Linked DNA regions of Drosophila melanogaster. The gene in region 2 interacts genetically with the main gene of each other region. Each region holds a gene or a part of one and is shown on either strand. Other genes may lie near its edges. The genes, in order: Oli and exex.

Region 1 (9,657 bases), on a different chromosome or scaffold from region 2:
AAACATGCATATAATCCTGACTGTTGATTTATTTATATAATACTTTTTAAATATTTATTGTATTTATTTATAATGAATTGCAATTCTTGTCGTTATCTATTTAAATATTTGTATTGCTTCTTTTCCCTGTTTTGCCAAAATTTGATTATGGTAAAAAAGAAAATATAACTTATAATATTCGGACTTCGTTGAACTTTGATTTATTCTTATTTTAGAAGTGATATAGCTAATAAACTTTAAATACAAATACAAGAAAAGACCAATGAATAGTCACTTTTAATTCCGTCCGTGGACTTGACAATGGTTTTGAAAGTACTTAGTACTTATTCAGCCTTATCTTAACATTTTTGCAAAAAATCGCCAGAACTAAATTATAATCTCTTCCCCTACATATTTCTAGACTACTCTGATAACACTAGGCAATTATTCAAATATTCTTGTCGAAGAAAGATTCGCGTTTTTTTCAAAAATGTACGCAATCACGCACACTTAGAATGATAACCTCTTAGAACTGAAATATATTCTGCCTTTTATTAGCAATGCTATTCGCAGGCTTTTTCTAACCATCAATAGATATTTAATATGGATACACCTAGTTCATGTAAACCTCAAAGTCAAAGTCAAATGGTTTAGCCCATTTAAAGAGCTCGTTCAGTTACGACTTTGAATATTTTTGCGGTTAATTACTTAACGTGATAATGCTGATCTTAACACTGAGATGCTAGCATATTAGATTACCAAATCTTGTTAAAACCACACATCAAACTTGAACTCAATTGAAAATAATAAATGATCAATAACAATTGAATCGTGACGTCTTAAAAGTTATTATTTAGAAATAATTTCTTGTTGTTTTTACTTGAATAATATTTATGTTTTATATTGCGTAGTTTGAACTATTTCCTTAGCTTTGCAATATTTTCTATTTATACAATACAATGTACAGAATTAGTGAATGGCGTTCTGTCTGGAATTTAATAAATGGGAAATTAAATAGTCTGAATAATTTCATCAGATCTTTAGTTTCGTAATAATTATTGATTAAACGTACTCACTCCATGTAAAATTAAAATCATTCCCATGGTTCAAATAGTTCAAAAGCGTGGCATAATTTCCGAATCCATTCCAATTTCAAGTTCAAAGTTGTAGTGAGCGATAATATTGAAGTCATTATCTCTGTTCCCATTAGAATTTAGAACAAACGTGGCTTGACACAAATCGTGATTTTTGGCAAACTTAAAACGCATTTAAGTATTAAAAGTAAATAACTCCAGGCTATTAACCCAAAATTTATTTTGATTGCCTTAATGACTGGCGATCAAACGGTTCGAGTAGACGTAATTGATTCGCCCGATGCACGTTTGACTTGTGCCAATAAATCAATTGTAATGCTGATAGGCGCGTTAAATGTCTCCCTTTTAATAATTGCTGGCCCATTAAATTTATAAGGTAGCAAGTAATTAGCTCACTGAGCAATCCGATTAACAGAGAAATATATAATTTATGCTCGTCTTTACGAGCATATTCGGAAATTGACTCATATGAGTACGAGTGACCACAAAACATTATTGCAAAATCTCGCAATCTCAGTGCAATGCCTAGCCCTCCCATGAACATATGTAGATGCAAACCAGTTCGGTTGAACATACATATATGTATATATATATATATAATTATATATTATATAGAAACCGATCTATAAGAGCTTCGCTTCTCTGGACACGAAGTCTTATCACCATGCTGTCGGCTCCATCGATCGACTCACGTGTTGTCATTTATAAAACGATTACAATCCAAGGCATGAATGACACTCCAGTACCGGTGGCTGCACACGAAAGACACTCAAGACCCCAAGTAAAACTGGAACTGAAGCCGACCAAGCAGAACTCAACTTGAATCGATTGCCGGCTGTCTGAAGTGATCGGGCGGCATTACAAATCGTTGTATCAAATATTAGTAAAAGTGAAAGTAATTGCATACTTACAACATGTCATCCGCGTTGACGAACCTCTTGCAATCGCTGAGAATTGTGCCCTTGGGACATGGAAAGTCCAGTAATCAGGTGGTCGTTGTACCAAGCAAAAAGGAACGTTTAAAACTGGAAGATCTGCCGGAGATCGCATTGGAGGAGGTGGCCCAGCACGACAGCTTCGACGATTGCTGGGTGGTAATCTACGATAGGGTCTACGATGTGACACACTTTCTAAGGGATCATCCCGGCGGCGACGACGTCATTATGGATCACGCAGGGCGAGATGCCACCATCGCCTTCCATGGCACAGGACACTCGGGGGATGCCATCGAAATGATGAAGGATTTCTTGATCGGTCAACTGCCCACCAAGCAGCACATTTTTCGCACTGGCAAAAACAAGGTTTTGTCCCTGGGCATACCGGAATAATATAATGCCAGCCGATTTTGCACCGATCGCCTTCGCCGCCGTCCTCCATGTCGTATATGTCTATATATATATATATTTTTAGAGTATTCATCGACTAGTTTTCTAGTTGTAATCCGCTTATTTCGAATTCCGCTAAACGGCTTTTGCTTAATCATCAAAAACCATACAGACAACTATGTATGTATATTTATATGTTAAATATTTTTGCCAAGACTTGAAACGGATCTAAGATTATATTATTTTAAATTTGATTGTGCTCTTTGATGTTTGTTATCTGATGACTATAAATGGTTGGTTGGGTTGGGCGTGTTTGAGTATTTGAAACTCTTATTTTGTTTGTTTGTTTGATGATTCTGAAAAATGACAGGCTTCTATCAGTGCTGATGGGTAAACCTAAATGACCAAACCCTTTTCCAACGACATACTTTCTACTTCAATAATACTTTATTCGGTAATATTCATCTTACACATATTGGTTGACATTGGGTAAATGCATAAATAAGAAATGCTTATGACAAAAATAAATATCACTGAACAGATTTTCACTTGGCTGCTCTGATAAGAGGCTCCTTATCAACCTCCTTTCGTCTGACTAGTACACAAGTATTTGGCATTTGCTTTCCAATTGACTTAAAAGTATTGCTCATTAATGGATTGCTTATCAGTTGAACCATAGTTTATGGTGGCCCCCACTCCTATTTAACTGCTGCTAGTCGGTGGTTCGTTGTGAGGTCCTTGAAGAAGAGCCTGCAACTTGGCAGCCGCCGGAAATGCACCCAAATCCAGTGGCGCTGCTCCCGTGGTGCTTTGTATATAGGCCAAAAGTCTAAAAGTAAAAGCATATATGTTAATAATTCCTATTGAGCGTGGTAATGAACTACGTTACCTTCTCAACTCCTCGAGAGCATTTTGCTGCATCAGAATGTAGTTCTTAGCCAGCAGCAAGGTGGCTATTTTCGACAGCTTTCGCACAGAAGGCGAATGGGCATAGGGAATCACACTTCTCAGCTCATCAAGGGCATCATTCAAATCGTGCATCCTTCGTCGTTCCCGGGCATTTATGTTCAGCCTTACCGTCTTTCCCTGGCGGTTTTTCTGCTTGCCACTGTTGGAGCCACTTCCGCTGGCGCCACCACTGGACACGGCCACCGTGGTGGTGCCACCACTGATGGCAATGGCTGCGATGGCGGCGGCCGTGGGACTCAATGGCTTCTCCGGAGCACTGGGCCCTGGTTTGTTCTCATCCGTCGGTGGCTGCTGGGACATGCCCATTCCCTGGGCATAGAAACCACCCAGACCAACCGATCCAAGTGGCGTCCGACGGCCGGGGACGCTTTGTGGTGGGCTGGCGGTGGGTGCTGGATGCTGGCCACCAAGCATATTGGCTGTAGGAGGTATTGGCATGTGTCCGTGGTTGGGGAGACCGGGAAAACCAAAAGCAAGATTCGAGGGATCCATTTTTTTGTATTTTATGGGACTTTTCCAGCTGTGAAAAAAAGGTTGAAGGGATGTGTAATCTTTTAGGGTAGTCCTTGCAAATCAAAGTTATTATGATGCAGGGTTGCATAAGAAAACTAAAAAATAGGGGTGAATACTCGTATGCTCAGCTGTTCGGTAGCGCCATCTGTCGGAATTTTATGTATTTAATAGGTTAGCAAAGCTTTTTATAGGTGGAGCATCTGTTTTGTGTTTTAACCCGAAATGGTTTAACAAATTGCAAACGTCTGTCAGGTATTCCTTAAATTTAATTAAAGCAAAATAATCGTTAAGCCTTTCGGAAATTCAAAGCCAAAATATTACGCGGTAGTCAGATTAACAAGATGAATATAAGCTTATCAAAGCTTTTCATAGGTGGCGCTGTGTAGTAGTCCAATTTAAGGGATGGTTTAATATGATGTTTCATGGCGAATACAATTTTAGCGGCATTAAATTTATTTAGGAGCGCAGCACTTCAGAAAACAATAAACTTTAAAATTATACGTCAATATATATAAATAATAAATTTGGCAATTATTAACCCAACGAAATGGATTATAAAATATGCAAAATCGACGCAGCACTTTATTTAACTTGCAGTTAATTCATGACACACTTAAAAGATTATTAATTTAAATTAACCACAAATCACAAGTTCGCCGGTGTACGAAGGGGACGAAGAGCACAGAGCACGGAGAAAGAAATTGCGGATTTAAACATTTTTAAAAATCGCACGCACCACAAACCAGGCAAAAAATTCAGATCCTGAATCGCAATCGGAATCGATGCGCGAGTGTGAGGTGCCCGGCAACAACAGAGACGACCGCGATTTTGTGGTGGGTTATAGTAGTCGCATAACGATTTTCCGATTTTCTCCGCTCACTCTCTCTCTCTCTCTCCCTGCCTCCGCCTATGCTTTCCAATCGCCCGTCTCTTTCGCTCTGTCAGCGAGGATGATTATAAACTTTTTGCCACCGACGCCACCGTCGCCGTTTGGTGTTAATCTCTTTCTGCAGAAGGAATATTATGAGCCACTATATAAAATGTGGGTCGGGTGTCGACGCCGGTGGTTGACGTTTAGTGGTTGGGCTTCGCATAATGCAGCATCCACACCAATACATACAGCACGATTATTACCAATACTCACAAAGGTGAATGAGTCACAGTTTCAGCACTAAGAAAAAAAAATGATTACTAATGATCGAAACCTTTTTGAAACATAACATATAGCATCAGATATACCCTACACAAAATAATAATAATTTCTAACATAAATCTAATCTGCTATTGAAAAGTTAACAATTACATATTTGCATTTAAAAATGGTATAAAATCATACTAATTAATAATCTATTCATTATTAATCATTATTTTGTATATTAAATAAAAGTCTGCATTTTTCAATTGGTTAAGTAATAATTAACTATAACCACACTTGATTGTAACGAAAACCAAAAACTTTTGTTATCTCTCAAAGTTGCATTTAATTGTTGAATATTATTTAGTGCAGTCAAATTTTTTACAAGTGTATGAAGTTTTTAATGCCTTTGCCCTGCCTGTCCGAAAATTCACTTTTCTTGTTGTTCAGGATTTTTATCGCTTCGCTCCTTTTCAACCCTGATGGCCCATCACCACCCCTCGCACCCTGAATCCGCCGGGTCCGCTCCTTTGTCTGTGATTTCAATTTCCATTGAAACTGAATCTAATCACATGCTCACTGCCTGCTGATCCTGGGCCGCCTGGCCAGTCCTGGATTCCTGTCCTAGGGGGTTGAACGAGGAACAAGGACCACGAATAGCCGTCCATAGCCCGTGCATCCTAGTATTTCGCCTATATGCCCATATACAGCATAGCTCAGAGGATGCCGCATCTGCATGGCATTCTCTACGTGAGCGAGTTTGTGCGTTTGCGAGTTGCCTGGAAATTATGGTATCGCATTGTTCAAAGCTGGAACAATGCCATAAATGGCACATGCCAAATATTTTCGTTGGCAAAGGCATAAGCTAGAAAAAGGTATGGAAAATGATAGGAAGTGCTAGGCAGATCTAGGCCACATATTTATTTATTTGATTGTATTTATTAGTTTTAAGCAATCTTTGGGTGTGGGTATATTTTTATTAATTTAAATATAAAAGGACACATTTTTCAATTAAGAGTATTATAAGAGTGTTTTTCAATTGAAATATTTTTTGAAATATTTAGAAATCCGCTGTTTAAATGACAACCTAACAAAATTATCATGAAAATCAAACATTTTTTTAAAAAGTCGTCCGATGAAGATTCTTTGTTAGTGCTGCTCTGATAAATATTTAAAATCAATCAATAGAGAATTTTTTTAATAATAAAATTTAATCGAAAAAATCTGTGAACATTCTTTTTTTTATCGACTTGTAAATTGTTAAGTCAAAATTTGAAATAATTTTTCGAAGATGCCTCTTTTAAAGTTATAAACTTTGTTATTTTACAAGTTCCATAGCTAAAGCAGATGTTTATTATCCAAAGCCAGCATCTCCATCCTCCTGTCAACTGCAATGCCCACTAATGACTTTCCACACTTCGGGCCTCGCAGGACATTTATGTATAAGTGGCGGAGTGTGTGTGCGTGGAGCTGCCTGCAGTCGTTTAGTCCTTAGAATAAGTCAAACTACGAGCACGGGCGACAGACCTAATGACTTCGCGCATGATAAATTTAATAATTTGCGCTGGCAACTTTTCCATTTGGCCTTTGTTTGCGCTTCCCTCCTTTCGTAGGGAAAATTATTGTGTCAGATGTTCGGGGCAGCAGTCACCGTATGCCATTATTTTCAATGAAATCCGGAATCTGGACAGCCCCTCTAGGCAATGCACCATTTGCTGCGTGATTGTGAGAGTTTTTTTTTTTTTTGGGTTTCGGGCTCGGGATCGGAATCGGGTATATTTGCAATCGCAGTGCACTCTCCCTTGTTGTAATTGTTCTGGGACTAATTCAGTTTATATATGCAGCATTTACATTGCAATTTACGGCGCTTCAGCTACGGCCAACACAATCATTTCGACTTTTCAACCCCGGGCCAGCCGAAATTTAAATTTTCGGTTTTTTCATTTTATGGCCACATTTTTATCAATCCATATACATATATATGGGCATTTGTCGCTGTTCCGTATCCGGGTTCCCGGATCCCAGGTCCGGCAAAGGCAATGAGGAATTTCATTATAATTTGCATAATTTATGCGCGACCGTGATTTGCATAATTAAGATTTGTACATTTGTGCATGCCAGTCATCATTAGCTTAGGTTCCGCACTGCGGACCAATTGTAAATGGCCAGCCCAGGGATTTTTTGGCTCGTACCTCGTGATCCGTCAAAGGGTTGTCATGGGTTAATGGATGACCCTCGAACTAAGCCACCGCGGGTATGGACATAAGTGGCTCTATTCATTTTGTGACGCTGTTAACTAATTTTATTAAATTATTCAATGTACTTTTTAACTATTAATGCAGTTTTTTAATATATCACAGTAAATATCATGGAAAATGCTTTTGAACTTTAGTTTTAAGGTATCTTTCATTCGAGCTTTAGACAACTTACAACCCTGACTTTTTCGTCAGGCAAAATTACAAATGCAAAAGCCTGAAAACCCCAATTTAATGTTTGGGTATGCGCAAATTAGACAAAACCATAGAATCCTTGGCTCTGTGGGGCCTTGGCTCGAACTAACGGCACTCCATGGGGCAATGTGAATCAATCATTAGCATTTTATTGTTGAAAAACCAATTGGGCACATTTATGAAGAGGCTTTTTCTGCCCTCCGCCCTGGCTTGTCCTCTCTTCGGAGATTCAGTTGATTCCTGGATATACGAGCATGGCTTCCTAACCTTATTATCGATGTGCTTTCGTTATATTGGCAATATTTATGGCAGCCATGACGGTTCGCCTAATGATTCCCCAGCGTATCGTTTTCAAGGTAGCACTTCCGATCCCCAGGCCACAGTCACACACACACGCACACACACGAACGCACTCCTGGCAGTGCCATATTTTATTTTGTTACTTTTATTGGCAGACGTCAACGAAATACAAAAAATGTGCCAATTGTACGCTGGGGAAATCGCTGCCGACTTGCGTTCAAAATAAGAAGCGAATGAAGATATATTTATCGCTCATTTCCGGCTTGACAGGCTTGATGCCCTTTCGCCATTTGCCATTTGCCGCAAGTTCTTCAAGCCAAGATAAACTTGGCCCATTTAAGCTAACAAAGGCAAAATACAAAAAGCAATTGGAAGATTTTGTTTTATTGGTATGTCAGAAAAGGAAAGATTTGATGTCGGCTTTGTGTGCAAAAATTGATAAAAGTCCATGATTTTCTAACCTTAGACGTAACTTGCTCAGATTTTCATCTTTAATTGTTCATATTGATGCAAGTTACCCACAGATTCTTAGTATAGGTTCTACAAAAGTATACCGCTTTGGAATAAATCCCAAAATACTGTGCGGTTCGCTTTGTTTTAATGTAATTCCCGTGAAAGCCATCACACTCTAAATTATTACCGATTTGCACACAAAACGTGGCTCGGAAAAAAGGAAACTGTAACGCACAGAATTTGATTTCGCCACTTTGATAGGATTTCTCATCCATTAGCCGAACTGAATGGATTGCGTCGAGCTCTTATTGATTACATCTAATGCCCATCATATGCGCTCTGCGTACAACCAAAAATAAAAAAAGAAGCGAAATAATAATAATTTCAGACAAAGGGCGAAGCGTGCAATATTTTATCAAATTATGCGATGTATGCAACTTCCTCCGCAGTGCGAATCCTTAACACCCCGCTGCCCACCCAGGCGTACTTACAATTTATCAGCATCAAATGGAAACCAAACAGCGAGGGTGAACCTGAACCCAGGACTTTTCCAGAGAGAGGGGATTGGGGTGGTAAGCCAGCTACAAAACAACAATAACAGTGCCGGAGCAATACCAATTCGAATTAAAATGCTGCTGATGCTGGGGCGGAGGACGAGTCTGAGGATTCGGCACCACCCCCAAGGGTGGAAAAGGGGTTGTTTGTCGGTTTCCCTTCGGTTCTTTATTCTGTTCGCTTCTCTTTTTTTTTGTTGTTTTGCGCGCGTTGTTGCAAATGGATATGGAATGTTACACAAACAAAAAGGGAGCAGGGTGGCCGTGTGGAAGTCGAAAAAGAAGAGCTCGAGTCCAAACCGAACACCAAAAGCAGAAACAGGATGGAACAAAAACACAAAAAAAATCGCAGGCCCGGACCACCACGCACAGGACACAGAAAGGACCACGCAACCGGGAACCAGGCGAAAACAAAGGGCACAACTTTGATGCGAGGGCCGAGGGCACAGGACGAAGGACGATGGTCCGTGGGTGGATCAGTAGGAGGAGACGCAGTCTGGATGGACCCAACAATGCCCAAGTACAGCTCGATAAATGTCAGCTGAGTCACCTCAGGGTCTCTGGACTACACAAATAGAAATCATAAATCATAATCATTAAATAAAACAATTTACAGGTGTCTTCAAGTCCATATTTTTGCATGTTATATACAAATTAATACTATTTAATAAAGTTATATGATATATAATAACAAAAGAATATAATAAAAGTAAGTAACATCATACTTATATAAAGGCTTTATATAAACTTAGTTTATAATATAATATATTATAATATAATATAATGTGTATACCAAAGTCACATGGGCTATTTCAGATTGAAAAGGAATACTATTATATTCTCTATTTCCGAAACATTATAACGTGTACCTTCTGTATCGTTTAG
Region 2 (11,070 bases):
ACCAATTAAAAATAATAAAGAAATACGAGGAAGGGGAAAAGCTGAAATGAGTTTATCAGTTTTTAATAAGTTTGCTTCGTTGGCGAGCCAATAACAAAAGCAAATCAATTCGCGCACTTAATGAAAAAACACAACTCAATTATAAACTTTATCAGCGGTATTTGGGGCGGAGTTTTTGGGGTGGGCTCTCTTTCCTGGACTCGCAGTCATTTAAAAGTCATTTTCTCAATGCAAAAATTCCATTGAAAATTGTGTGTATATAAATGAAATTAACTTTTGCATTGCCATATTAAAAAATATTTATTTCACTTCGTCTGTGTACTTACGTTGATTTACAATGACGTGTTTGTTTCGTTAAGCATGATAAAACGGAAAAATTATGGAAAAATCAGCAGTTAAGTTCCACGAGTTTGTAAATTAGTTGGGAAACATTCAATTTGCAATCGAAAATTAAACATTTTAATTTACCTCCTTAGAAAATGTGGCAATCATTTGGTAATCATTGGGGTCACAACAATGAACCGTTTCTGGGTTTGTTTAAAACATTGCACGAAAAGAAGAAAATCCAAGCCAAACTGTGGGTGGGTGGAATAAAAATGCAAATAATAAATATCAAAGTGCAGTAATAATTTGCATTCACACACTTGTATAGTGAACTCGCTGTGCCCACAACTCTGTCAACATAATGAGCCAGCCAATTGGAATGGCAGGCACTTTGTAGATACAACTGGACGAAGTAGCCGTATCTGTGTATCTTTGTAGCTGCTGAAATGTAAAAATTATTTATTGATAACGCAATTTAATGCCAATTATTTGCACATCAATATTTGCTCAATTATCAACTGCAATTCACTTGGGGTGCGGTTGTGATGTTGTGATTAATGAGCAACTCCAATGATGATCATGATGATGAAGGGTGCCGTGGTTTGTTTTTCACTTTTTTGCGGTTATTGTTTAAGAAATGTTTTGAAAAACCTTTCCACTTTTTGATGTATCTATAAAGGGGGATAGAAAACAAGTGCCAAAGTCAACTCAATCAACCCTCCGCCTTCATCCCTTTTTGCCAACCTTGCAACTTCTGTTTACTTAGCTAACTAAGGCGCTGGAAATCTGTTGAAATTTTCTGGCATTATTGTTCACTTATCGGCTGAATTAACACGACGACGTAAAGGGAGAAATGCCAGGTTCAGGATATGTGCTACCCATCTCTTTCATACTCGGTTCATCCCTCTCTTTCATTTCTATATGTTGACCGCATCAGCTAAATTGCAGCAGCATATGTGACGATTTATTTTTATTGTTGATTTCTATTAGTGATATTTGCTGGCAAATTTAACGCCTGATTAGCCTAATATGTCAGAAAAATTCATCATTGATCCAAAACAGAATTTATGGGGTTGCTACTGCAATTTGATGGCAGTATTTTTGGATTGATTTTCCATTGAAAAAAAGATTTCTTTTGATTGGCTGTTCCCCGTATTTTGTGTTTCGTGCTTTAAAAAAATTGATTTAAATATTTATTTGGCTTACAAAAGTAGTAATGTGCATATTAATGTCGATAAGACTATCAAATTTGATATCCTATGATTAGTGGCCTTGTTATCTTCGTCTACAAACCAATTTCCGCAGGGACATGTCTTATTTTCCATCAACGATGACCAAATCGCCCGACTGCACATATGACAACGTACATTATTCTCAATATCTGCACCTTTTCTTTTGAGCTTTTGGCATCCCATTTCCGGTGACCAGAAACAGCAATACCCGAGTATTGGCCCTATAAATTGGGAACTAGTAAGTGATATGAAAGTATTATGGCTAAGCTACTCACTTTCTTTTACAAAACCCATTCCGGCTGGCAGGCAAGTCTGTAGAAATGGCGGTAATTTGGACGAATTTACATGAGGATCCAACTTTAGGGCATCAATCTCGAATTCACAACTCCATCCGGTTGTGGTAACGTCGCAATCTCGGTTTATCTTCGAACAATTCGCACATTGCATTTTTTCATAGAAACTGTGGACGTTGGTAATATAAGCGGCTATAATCCAAAAAAGTTTCCCAAACATATCGGATACCAAATGTGTGTATTTCTTCAAGGACTGCTGGGTTTAAAAATTACATTTTTAAAATTTTAAAAATTAAATTTTTGGAATCAAAGTGCTAATATTTCCAATTAGCACTTAAGCTAACTTAAATCAAGTTTACCCATAACGCTACCTTTTCAACATTTTAACTCTAATTGCATATTTACGTAACCATTTCTCCCCAAAATCAAAATGGAATCAGATAAACAAAATGCGAACTAAAAACCGAAAACCAATCCAAAACCCCACACTTTCAACATAAAATCCCTCCACTTTCGAACCAACCAAAGGCCCCAATCTCATCCCTTTACCCTTCGACTCGCTCTATGTTTGTGTTGTTATATAAAATAAACTATTCCGGAATAACACAAATCATACGGGGGGCCAGAACAAACGAGGCTGGACCATTGCCAGGTCATGTTCCACGTTTCCCCCCCTTGTGCACCACCCATAAATGTTAGTTAACTGCACGTGGATGAGTAGATAAATATGGTATAATGAAAATAAAATAAGAACCAGATAGAAACTTGGTGGAGGGTACGCGGGGGGGCGATAGAAACAACAGCAATCAGTCGTCATTGCAGACATCGCACTAATTTTGAGTTAGTTGTTGGGAAAACATTTTCGGCTTGAGTTTGGGTTTTCCCGAAAATTGGGAGTGAGTCAGTCGGGCTTCATTTTTGTACGTGGGCAAGGAAAATATACTTTGGCACGTTTCTTGTTAGCGAACAGTTTGCTCCATTCCCTGGACTCACTTAACTCTTTTCCTGTCTGGACATTGCATTATATATGTATGTAGTACATATTATGGGTTCTATTTATTTGAGTTCCAAGGTCTGCTCCTTTTCAATTGCTTTGTCTTTCTGTCAGCTTAAAATTGGGAATTAGTTAAATATGTTTATCTTTAATATTAGATTAAAGTAAAGAGAAATCCCTTGTAAGGAGAAATCCGCCTATTTAATCTGCCCAATATCAAGTTATCAAGGTGAAAATCGATTGTATCTAAAATCGTAAGATAACGCCTATGTTAATGTATTCCATAGACTTCCATTCAATTTGATGTCCTTTGCTACCGCATTCAATTCATTTATAGCCACCCGCCATCTTCTTAACTCTGAGCCACTTGGCCAACCATTCATGTCCACTTAGTAATCCATCAAGGGAACATTAAAATCGTCTCATCTGGCTGAGCGTAGGTCGTAAAGAAAATGCATTATAGGGGCATTACGGCGGTAGCGCCAAACTGCCAACCGAGTTATAAAAGCGCCATGAAACGAGACGTTTATTGTTATCGAGATTATTGATTTCTGGCCGGGCTTAAAGCTGCCTTTTGGCCGTTTTGTGGATCGTGGATCGCTGCTCGTCGAGTGCCTTAATTGCTGGCCTAATCATCTGCCAGACTTCCTATAACCTATTGGCCCTCCTCCATACCACCACTCCCTTTGGCAGCCATTAAGGACCTTTCGAGCCTCCGAGCACTCCCACTTTCCACTCTCCACTCAAGTTGATTATGAAGATTCTTTCGTCTTTTGCCTGCTGAACTTGCTAGTTGCTCAACACTCCATAATGATGGCAATTATAGCCTCGTTTTTCCAACAATTTATATGAAATTTGCTGCTGCCAAGCTCACCCCCCTCTGTCCCTAGCCACTCTTTCTCACCAAAGCCACGCCCCTTCGATGGACATTTTCAGCCACTTAGCCACGCCCCATGCCATCAGGCTATCTCTGTCGCGCTTTCGTGTTAACTGCCAGATACTCCATCTTGAAAGCGGGTTTCCAGAGAGCGAGAGAGAGAAGCAGAGCGGTACTGATTGCACCACCGTTGCTGCTTCACACTGGCATTCCGTATCGCGTATATGATACCACGTTTGGCTACCAGCAGCGCACAGTCGTTAATGAGCGCTCGTCGAGTTCGCTTCGCAGGAAATCACAGCTCGCGTTCGCACGCGTGTTCGTAAAATCGTCGATTTCGAAACGTGTTGGAAAGTGTTTGGAAATTTTGAGAATATATACATATATTCGAAAGAGTATAGAAACTGAACTTTGGTGAACCGAGTGAAGCATGTCCAGTGCCCAAGTGTCGCAACAGCCGCCTCCACCGCCGCTGACCGCCAGCAGTAGCACCTCAATGCCGTCGCAATTGCTACTTAGCCACATTCAGCACCACAGCAGCAGTCTGCACCATCAGCGCAGTCATCAGCGATCATCGCCACCTGCCCAGGACTACGATCAGGGCAGCAATCAATCAACACTCTCGCCCAGATCCCAGATAACACCCAGTCCGCCGGCAGCCAGTCCCACGCATTCGGCGGCCACCACAGGATCACCAGTTAGCACCTATACACCGGCCTTGAGTCCCGGTGGTGCACAGGATAGCAGCCAAACGGAGAGTGGTCAGAGTTCACAGATGCCTCTACTAGTGGCTCCCATGCCCGTGGGCACTGGTCCGCCACATTCACATCCACCGCCGCCGCATCCTCGTCTCTATGTGGAGGGTTTCCCGCCACCGCATCATGTGCCACATCCACATCCCGCCCTGGGCACCTATCCTCTGCCACGACTGCCCCTTATGTTACCGGCAAATCCACCAGGTGTGCCATCGGGAGCGGCTGCACCACCGCCCGTCTCACCGCAACCCGCTGCCAATCACCTGAGCCACAGTGGAGCCACCATGGCCACAACCACACTCCTGCCACCCGCCCAAAGTCAGCCCAAGAAATCCTTCTGCATCGATGCTTTGCTGGCCAAGAGCCAACACCAGTCGGGTGAGCCACAGCCCATCATTGTGGATGATCGTCTGGCTGCCCTGCACTATGCCCGGGATCAGGCGGAACTCAATCATGCCTTTGTGACCGCCTCCAATGCGGCGGCAGCTGCTCAGGCGGCTGCCTCGGCCGCCGGCGGCATCAGCGAACAGGAGGCACTGCAGCGCATCCGGGACTCCAGGGAGTACGACTCACCCAGTCCCGACGGCATGTCGAGGTGAGTAAAGAAATTTGGGATGAGCATAACTATAAGGAAGATTTCAGAGGGGGTTTGAAAAGAAAAGCATATTAATAAGGCCTGAAAAACTTATTATGAGTGATCAAAAAATAGATAAAGTTTATTACTAATAACGTTACACTATAAAATGTTTTTAAAAAGGTAAAGGTAACTTGTTTATTATCACTATTACTTAATTTGTTTTAGTAATTAATTTATACTCATGATAAATTTCAATTGTTTATGAAACTATTCATTTGATTGTCTATACTATCTGTCCTGATAATTTAATTAGTCACTTATTACAAAGTCTTACCAATAGCTTTGGGTTAAATAATACAATTTTTCGCCTAATACGAACACTTGCCTCATATTATTACTCATATGCATTACTTTGCTTGCTAATACCCAGAATTTAAAAACGATTCGTATAAAAATGCAGCTCTTACCAAAAATCCCTCAACTTCTTGTTGAAATCCCTTGGCTGGCTACCAAACAAAACCGTGGCACTTGGTAAAAACCATTCTGAAAGCCAAAGCGAAGCCCCAGCGAAGCTCCAAAGCAGCTTTGCTGGCACTCGAAAATATGGCAATGAAAAATGTATTCAATTGGTCAATTCCAATTTGGTCATCAGCCACAGAGATTACGTATACGCCATGTGTCTGCCGTCACAAGTGTGTGAGTGGCTAATTTAAAGTGCGAATTGTGTACAAAGAAGCAAACAAATTAGAGGGAGGGCGGCGGTAATATTAATTGTTTTCAAAATGTGTCGCGTAATTTCGATTGTCGAAATCGATTGGTTAGATAATTCGCAATAAAGGGTGCCCCATTAAGTTTTTTCCCACAATTTTTTTTATTTTTGCAGATCAGAGTCGCCCACTTCGTCGCACCGCTCCAGTCCGCCCATCAGTCCCGGTTGTGAGGATCAGCAGCAGCCCCACGGTGCACTGCATCCCCAGCATCTGTCCATGCGCATGTCCGACTTCCACGACGAGTTCAAGAAGCCAATACCACCCCACAGTCCCATCAGACCCCAGGATTTTCCGCTCTACGCAGGAGGACATCCCTACCAGCTGCTGGCCCAAGGTGGATCCGCCTTCCACAGACCTCTGGATCCCTCAGGGAAACCCATTCCGGTAAGTAAAACATTAAATATATATCAATATTACAAAGTAACTATTGTAATAAAAATTTTAATACGAAATAGATCAATATATACAATACTATCATACAAATCATTTGCATCGTATTTTCCTTATTTATCCATGCAGATACCCATGGGTCATAATTTCATGCCGTCGCAGCTGCAATTCGAATTCCTGGCCCGCGCCGGAATGCTGCACCATCGAATTCCCGAACTGGCCGCCTATCCGCATCATGCGATTCTGGGCAAGACCAGGAGACCACGAACGGCCTTTACATCGCAGCAACTCCTCGAGCTGGAGAAGCAATTCAAGCAGAACAAGTATCTGAGTCGGCCCAAACGATTCGAGGTGGCCAGCGGTCTGATGCTGTCCGAGACGCAGGTGAAGATCTGGTTCCAGAATCGTCGGATGAAGTGGAAGCGCTCCAAGAAGGCGCAGCAGGAGGCCAAGGAGCGGGCAAAGGCCAACCAGCAGCAGCAGCAGCAGCAACAGACGCCCAGTGCCGCCAGTTAGGAGTTGTAGCAGTAAGGAGAAGCAGCCGGAGGATCTGTTGGATCTGGAGGAGTGGTCTCCAATCTAGTCATGCCGCGATCAAACCGCCGTCCCACCATTAAAACGAGACACCCTGTATTCTTGCCCCCAGTTTCATTCGCGCAATCGGTCTAAATCTTTTTTGGGTTTTTTGCACTTTGATTTCGCATTATTATTTTTATTTTGTGCCACAACAACTGGTCACTGTGTGATATATGTGTGTGTATATGTAAACAAGAAATATAAATTAAATTCATTACCCCCTTCTTTTTAGCCCCTTTATGTACATAAACATAAATCTAAATAGGAACACGAACATAAATAACAAAGTAAACATAAATCTAAACTAAATGAGTAATGCTTAAGTAAATAAATTACATTAAATGCGATTAGTTTAGTTGGTAATTTACAATTTGCTTGTGTAATTTGTGTAAATAATTGTAATTATGTAATTGTAGTATTTAATATTAACGAAAACAACAAGAGCCATTAAGAAAAATAACAAATATAAAGTGTATAATAACGCATTGCGATTGAATTAGTTAATTTTCTAGATTTTATTTTCGAAATCAAAATTGGAAAAAATAAATAACTAAAAATATAAGCTTACAAATTTTAATAATTGGGATAAATTAAGGAACACAAATGTGGCAAGGTAAGATATGACTTATAACAACTACTTTAAATAAAACTTAAATTAACTGGAAATCTACACGATTGACTTGCTGAGAACTATTCCACTTAATTCAAGAGAATTTGAAGAATTTTTGATAATACAACTAAAACCATAAACTAATTTTTGCCATAAAAAGCAAAGCAATGATTACGATTGCCAGAAAAATGTATGAAGCGAAATGCACTGAAAAATATCCCAAAGTAACAAGTAGAAATAAACATAATTTATATATATTCTAGCAAATATCTAATCTGACTGGCTTTGAGAGCTGTCTGTGGCTCGAATTTATAAATACACGACGGCCATAAAGAAAGAGCTATTAGCCACATATTCGTATACTACCAATCAAAATTCTACTCAATTTCTCGCCCTTGCGATAATGCCTATCGCAGCAAATAAATCAAAATGTGCGCAGATAATCAAGTTAATTGCTGAGACAATAATTATGACTAAATTTATAGTATCACTTCAAAATTATTTCGCTAATTAAAATGTAGCCAACTTCAGGCGAACAACGAACGCACTTCTTAGTTTCTTGGCTTGTTGATATCGATTTGGTTTATTTATTTTTTTTTTTGGCCTGCGAGTGTGGCAAATTGAAAAAATCATGGTGAGCTTCGATTTCCGGCAGAATAAGAGTCATATAAAGTGTTATTATCAGGCAATACCATACAATTGGTTGGAATACAATACAATACAAGTTTTTGATAACCGCTTGAATTCGGTTTAACGTTCATCAGCTACTGAAGTGATTGATAAGTATTTACATAAAATATAAATTATTATATATATATATATATATGTTTAGTTCTTATCAACGTAATTTTTAATGTAAGCTTCTTTTGAATCTTTTATCAAGCAATCAAATAATATATGATTTAGTTCCTTTATTACTATACATACCATTATCCTGCTCATTGAAGATGACATAAAGTGCGAACTCACTTGGTATTGTTCTAGCCACTTTCGATTGCATTTCCCATTTCCCATACCCAGTACCATTTCCATTCCCACTTCCATTCTGATGAAGAGAACTCGTCTGTCCACTTTATCACGTAATTCTCAAGTATTTCATAGACTCGCACACGACGGACTTTACGGGTTTTATCGACGCTGTTGGTTTGCCTTGAAGTATGCTTTATATTGTTATTATTGGTTGTTTGATCTGTTGCTGTTGTTGCCGTTATTGTTGTTATTATGCAGCAGTTTCTTGTTTTCTGACGGGCTAATAAAAATTCATTTCGTTCCTCTGCTTGCCACTAAACACGTAGCGCATTCTTGGCTGAGTAAATGAGTGGAGCACACATTTCTATAGAAGGGTACATATGTGTGGTACAGTGGGTAAATCGTATGAAAGGCATATACAGTTTTAACTCATATTTAAACTTATCTATCAGATATTAGCTACTCAACAAGAATTTCCAAATTGGGTTGGTTTCTATCCTTCGCTCAGCAGCTTTTCGACAGCTATACAACTTTACTGCTTAATATTTAGAGATCATAAATATAACATCTTTCTATAGTTTTGTAAACTATTTATTAGTTTATAAATATAATAAACACTCAAAAAAAAAAAAACATTACAAAAATATTTTTATATTGAGATTTTAAGCATCCTTCCTTAATTACTGATCCCTTGGCACCTTTCTGCCCCGAACTTGACCCACTGTGCACCCTGGGCTGCGGTTGCTGATGCTGCGCTTTATTTTGATTTGCCTTGAAGTGGCCAAATGTGTTGAACCAGAACACAATACAATTGAAAAGGGGAAAGGGGACGACGATTTTCCCCTAATTTCAATTCATTGAGCTATTAGCGGGTAATTTGCAGCAGGAGGAGTTTCAATGAAAAACCGGCGAGAGCATAAAAGGGTGACAAAGATCAAACCGTAGAACTGGAATTGTATTCGGGATGGATATTCCTGGATGCTGTCCTTCGGGATGCCTGCTGCTGATTGTCGCATCTGTTGCAAATTAAATTTGCGTTATAATTTCTATAAACACACAAGCGTTGAGTTGAGGAAGGCACACACCCAGAAAATCGACGATTGAATTGAGGGTTCACTTCCCGCTCCGCTGTCAAATGTTTCCCTCCTCGTCTGACTTTGTTGCTATTGTTGCTGGTGTTACAATTTGGTTATCCCCTGTTGGGCAACGTCATCAGATGCACTGAAAAAAAAAATAACTATCTGTTGTAGCTGGAAGGTATAATCTCTTCAAAAGTATTTAATTTGGCTTTAATGTTTTCTAACTATAATTCATACTTATTTTAATCAATATCAATTTCGCAAAAGTTGTCATACACTTATGTTGTATTGTTAAGTTATAAACTTATGTTGATTTATATATCAATACTACAGTTATATATTTTTCCTATTTTCTTCATAATTCGATAAATCCAACGTGCTTACTTTTCTCAGTGGATGACAACCCTCTTGGGTCGACTGGTATTTATCGTTCTAGTCCCGGGTTCCAATTTGATCTTCATGTCAACACAGATGATCACATTTTATGCTTAATTTTGTTATATGTGATGTTTGCTTAACTGATTTAGCGTCCATCCACTGCCCAGCCAACCCCTCTAATTTCTATAAATTGGCATTGGGTGCATTTTTACGCTAATATTCAATCGAATTTGCCTCGATTTTCGATTTTATTGTCAAATATGTGCGATTATTGTCATATGTTGGATTTTATTATTGTCAAATTTGCATTTGTCTGGGGATCGCGGCACATTGGGGTTGGGGCTACATAAGCGGTTATAGCTCGTTAGCCATCTAGCTAATGGCTGTTTACTCAGCCAGCTGGAGCGGGTGAACTGGAGCTGAAAGGATGGACAGGATGCGAGGGTCAGGATGCTGGTGGTGTCCTATTGATTGGCTTCGATTGCTATCACAATTGATGGGCGGCATTTTGTTTTTAATTGCTGCCGCGTTGGGCAAATCCCTTCTAATTGATGGGCAAAATGCATATGCGCACATTGGAGAGTTTTTTTTTAGAACCAACATGGTAATTTTCGGGCAGTTATTAGAAACCAACTATTACGCTATGGTAAGAACATGAGCTTTCTTTCCACTCAAAGAAACAAGAAACTTCAAATATTTAAAGCTCTTTTAGTTTGTACCCAAAAAAGTAGATATATACATCCAAAGAATCTTACCCTGATATCCTCTTAAAATAAGTAATGCACCCAAATCCCCATTCCTTTCAACCTGCTAAGCACTTTCTCCCCTCATTGCTCTGTTAAATTTGCTAATTAGCCCAACATAAGGTTTTCTAATTTCCTTTAACGCGGAGCAATATCAGCAACAGGGGGATGTACATACATATAGACGTGTGCATCTACGAGAAAACGGAGCCCGCAGTTGGTCCAAAAAGCAGACGAGCGAGCAACCCTCTCTTGGCCACCCCTTAACCCATGGCAGCCCAACTGGCCCCCCCCCCCACTTGGAAGTTGAGTTTGGCTTTAGTCGTTTGGTATCATTAGCCTCTGGGGATGATTTGTTGTTGTTTGGCAGCACTTGATCAACGCAGCAATGAATTCAATTAGCACCAAAACACCAAAAGAGCGTTGCAGGAGCCAGCAAGGGGAGGTGGTGGTGCTGTGCGGAGGGGAGGGGGGTGTGTGGTGTGCGTGGCACTTGCTGCGGG

The links.
Region 1: of exex (region 2) and Oli, changing one enhances a phenotype caused by changing the other (phenotypic enhancement), as found in Drosophila melanogaster (one study listed by BioGRID).

Annotation. Positions count from the first base shown.
Region 1 is NT_033779.5:17,584,442-17,594,098, reverse strand, and holds Oli (olig family), read right to left. Parts: upstream 4,916-9,657; 5' UTR 4,520-4,915; exon of another isoform or gene 3,888-4,519; 5' UTR 3,860-3,887; coding exon 3,288-3,859; intron 3,228-3,287; coding exon 3,101-3,227; 3' UTR 2,832-3,100; downstream 1-2,831. Other genes in the region: Sytalpha (synaptotagmin alpha), read right to left, coding at 1,766-1,775; CG6870 (uncharacterized protein), read left to right, coding at 1,988-2,401.
Region 2 is NT_037436.4:7,944,216-7,955,285, forward strand, and holds exex (extra-extra), read left to right. Parts: upstream 1-3,970; 5' UTR 3,971-4,150; coding exon 4,151-5,070; intron 5,071-5,935; coding exon 5,936-6,206; intron 6,207-6,341; coding exon 6,342-6,728; 3' UTR 6,729-7,348; downstream 7,349-11,070. Other genes in the region: CG43880 (uncharacterized protein), read right to left, coding at 1,527-1,777, 1,832-2,069.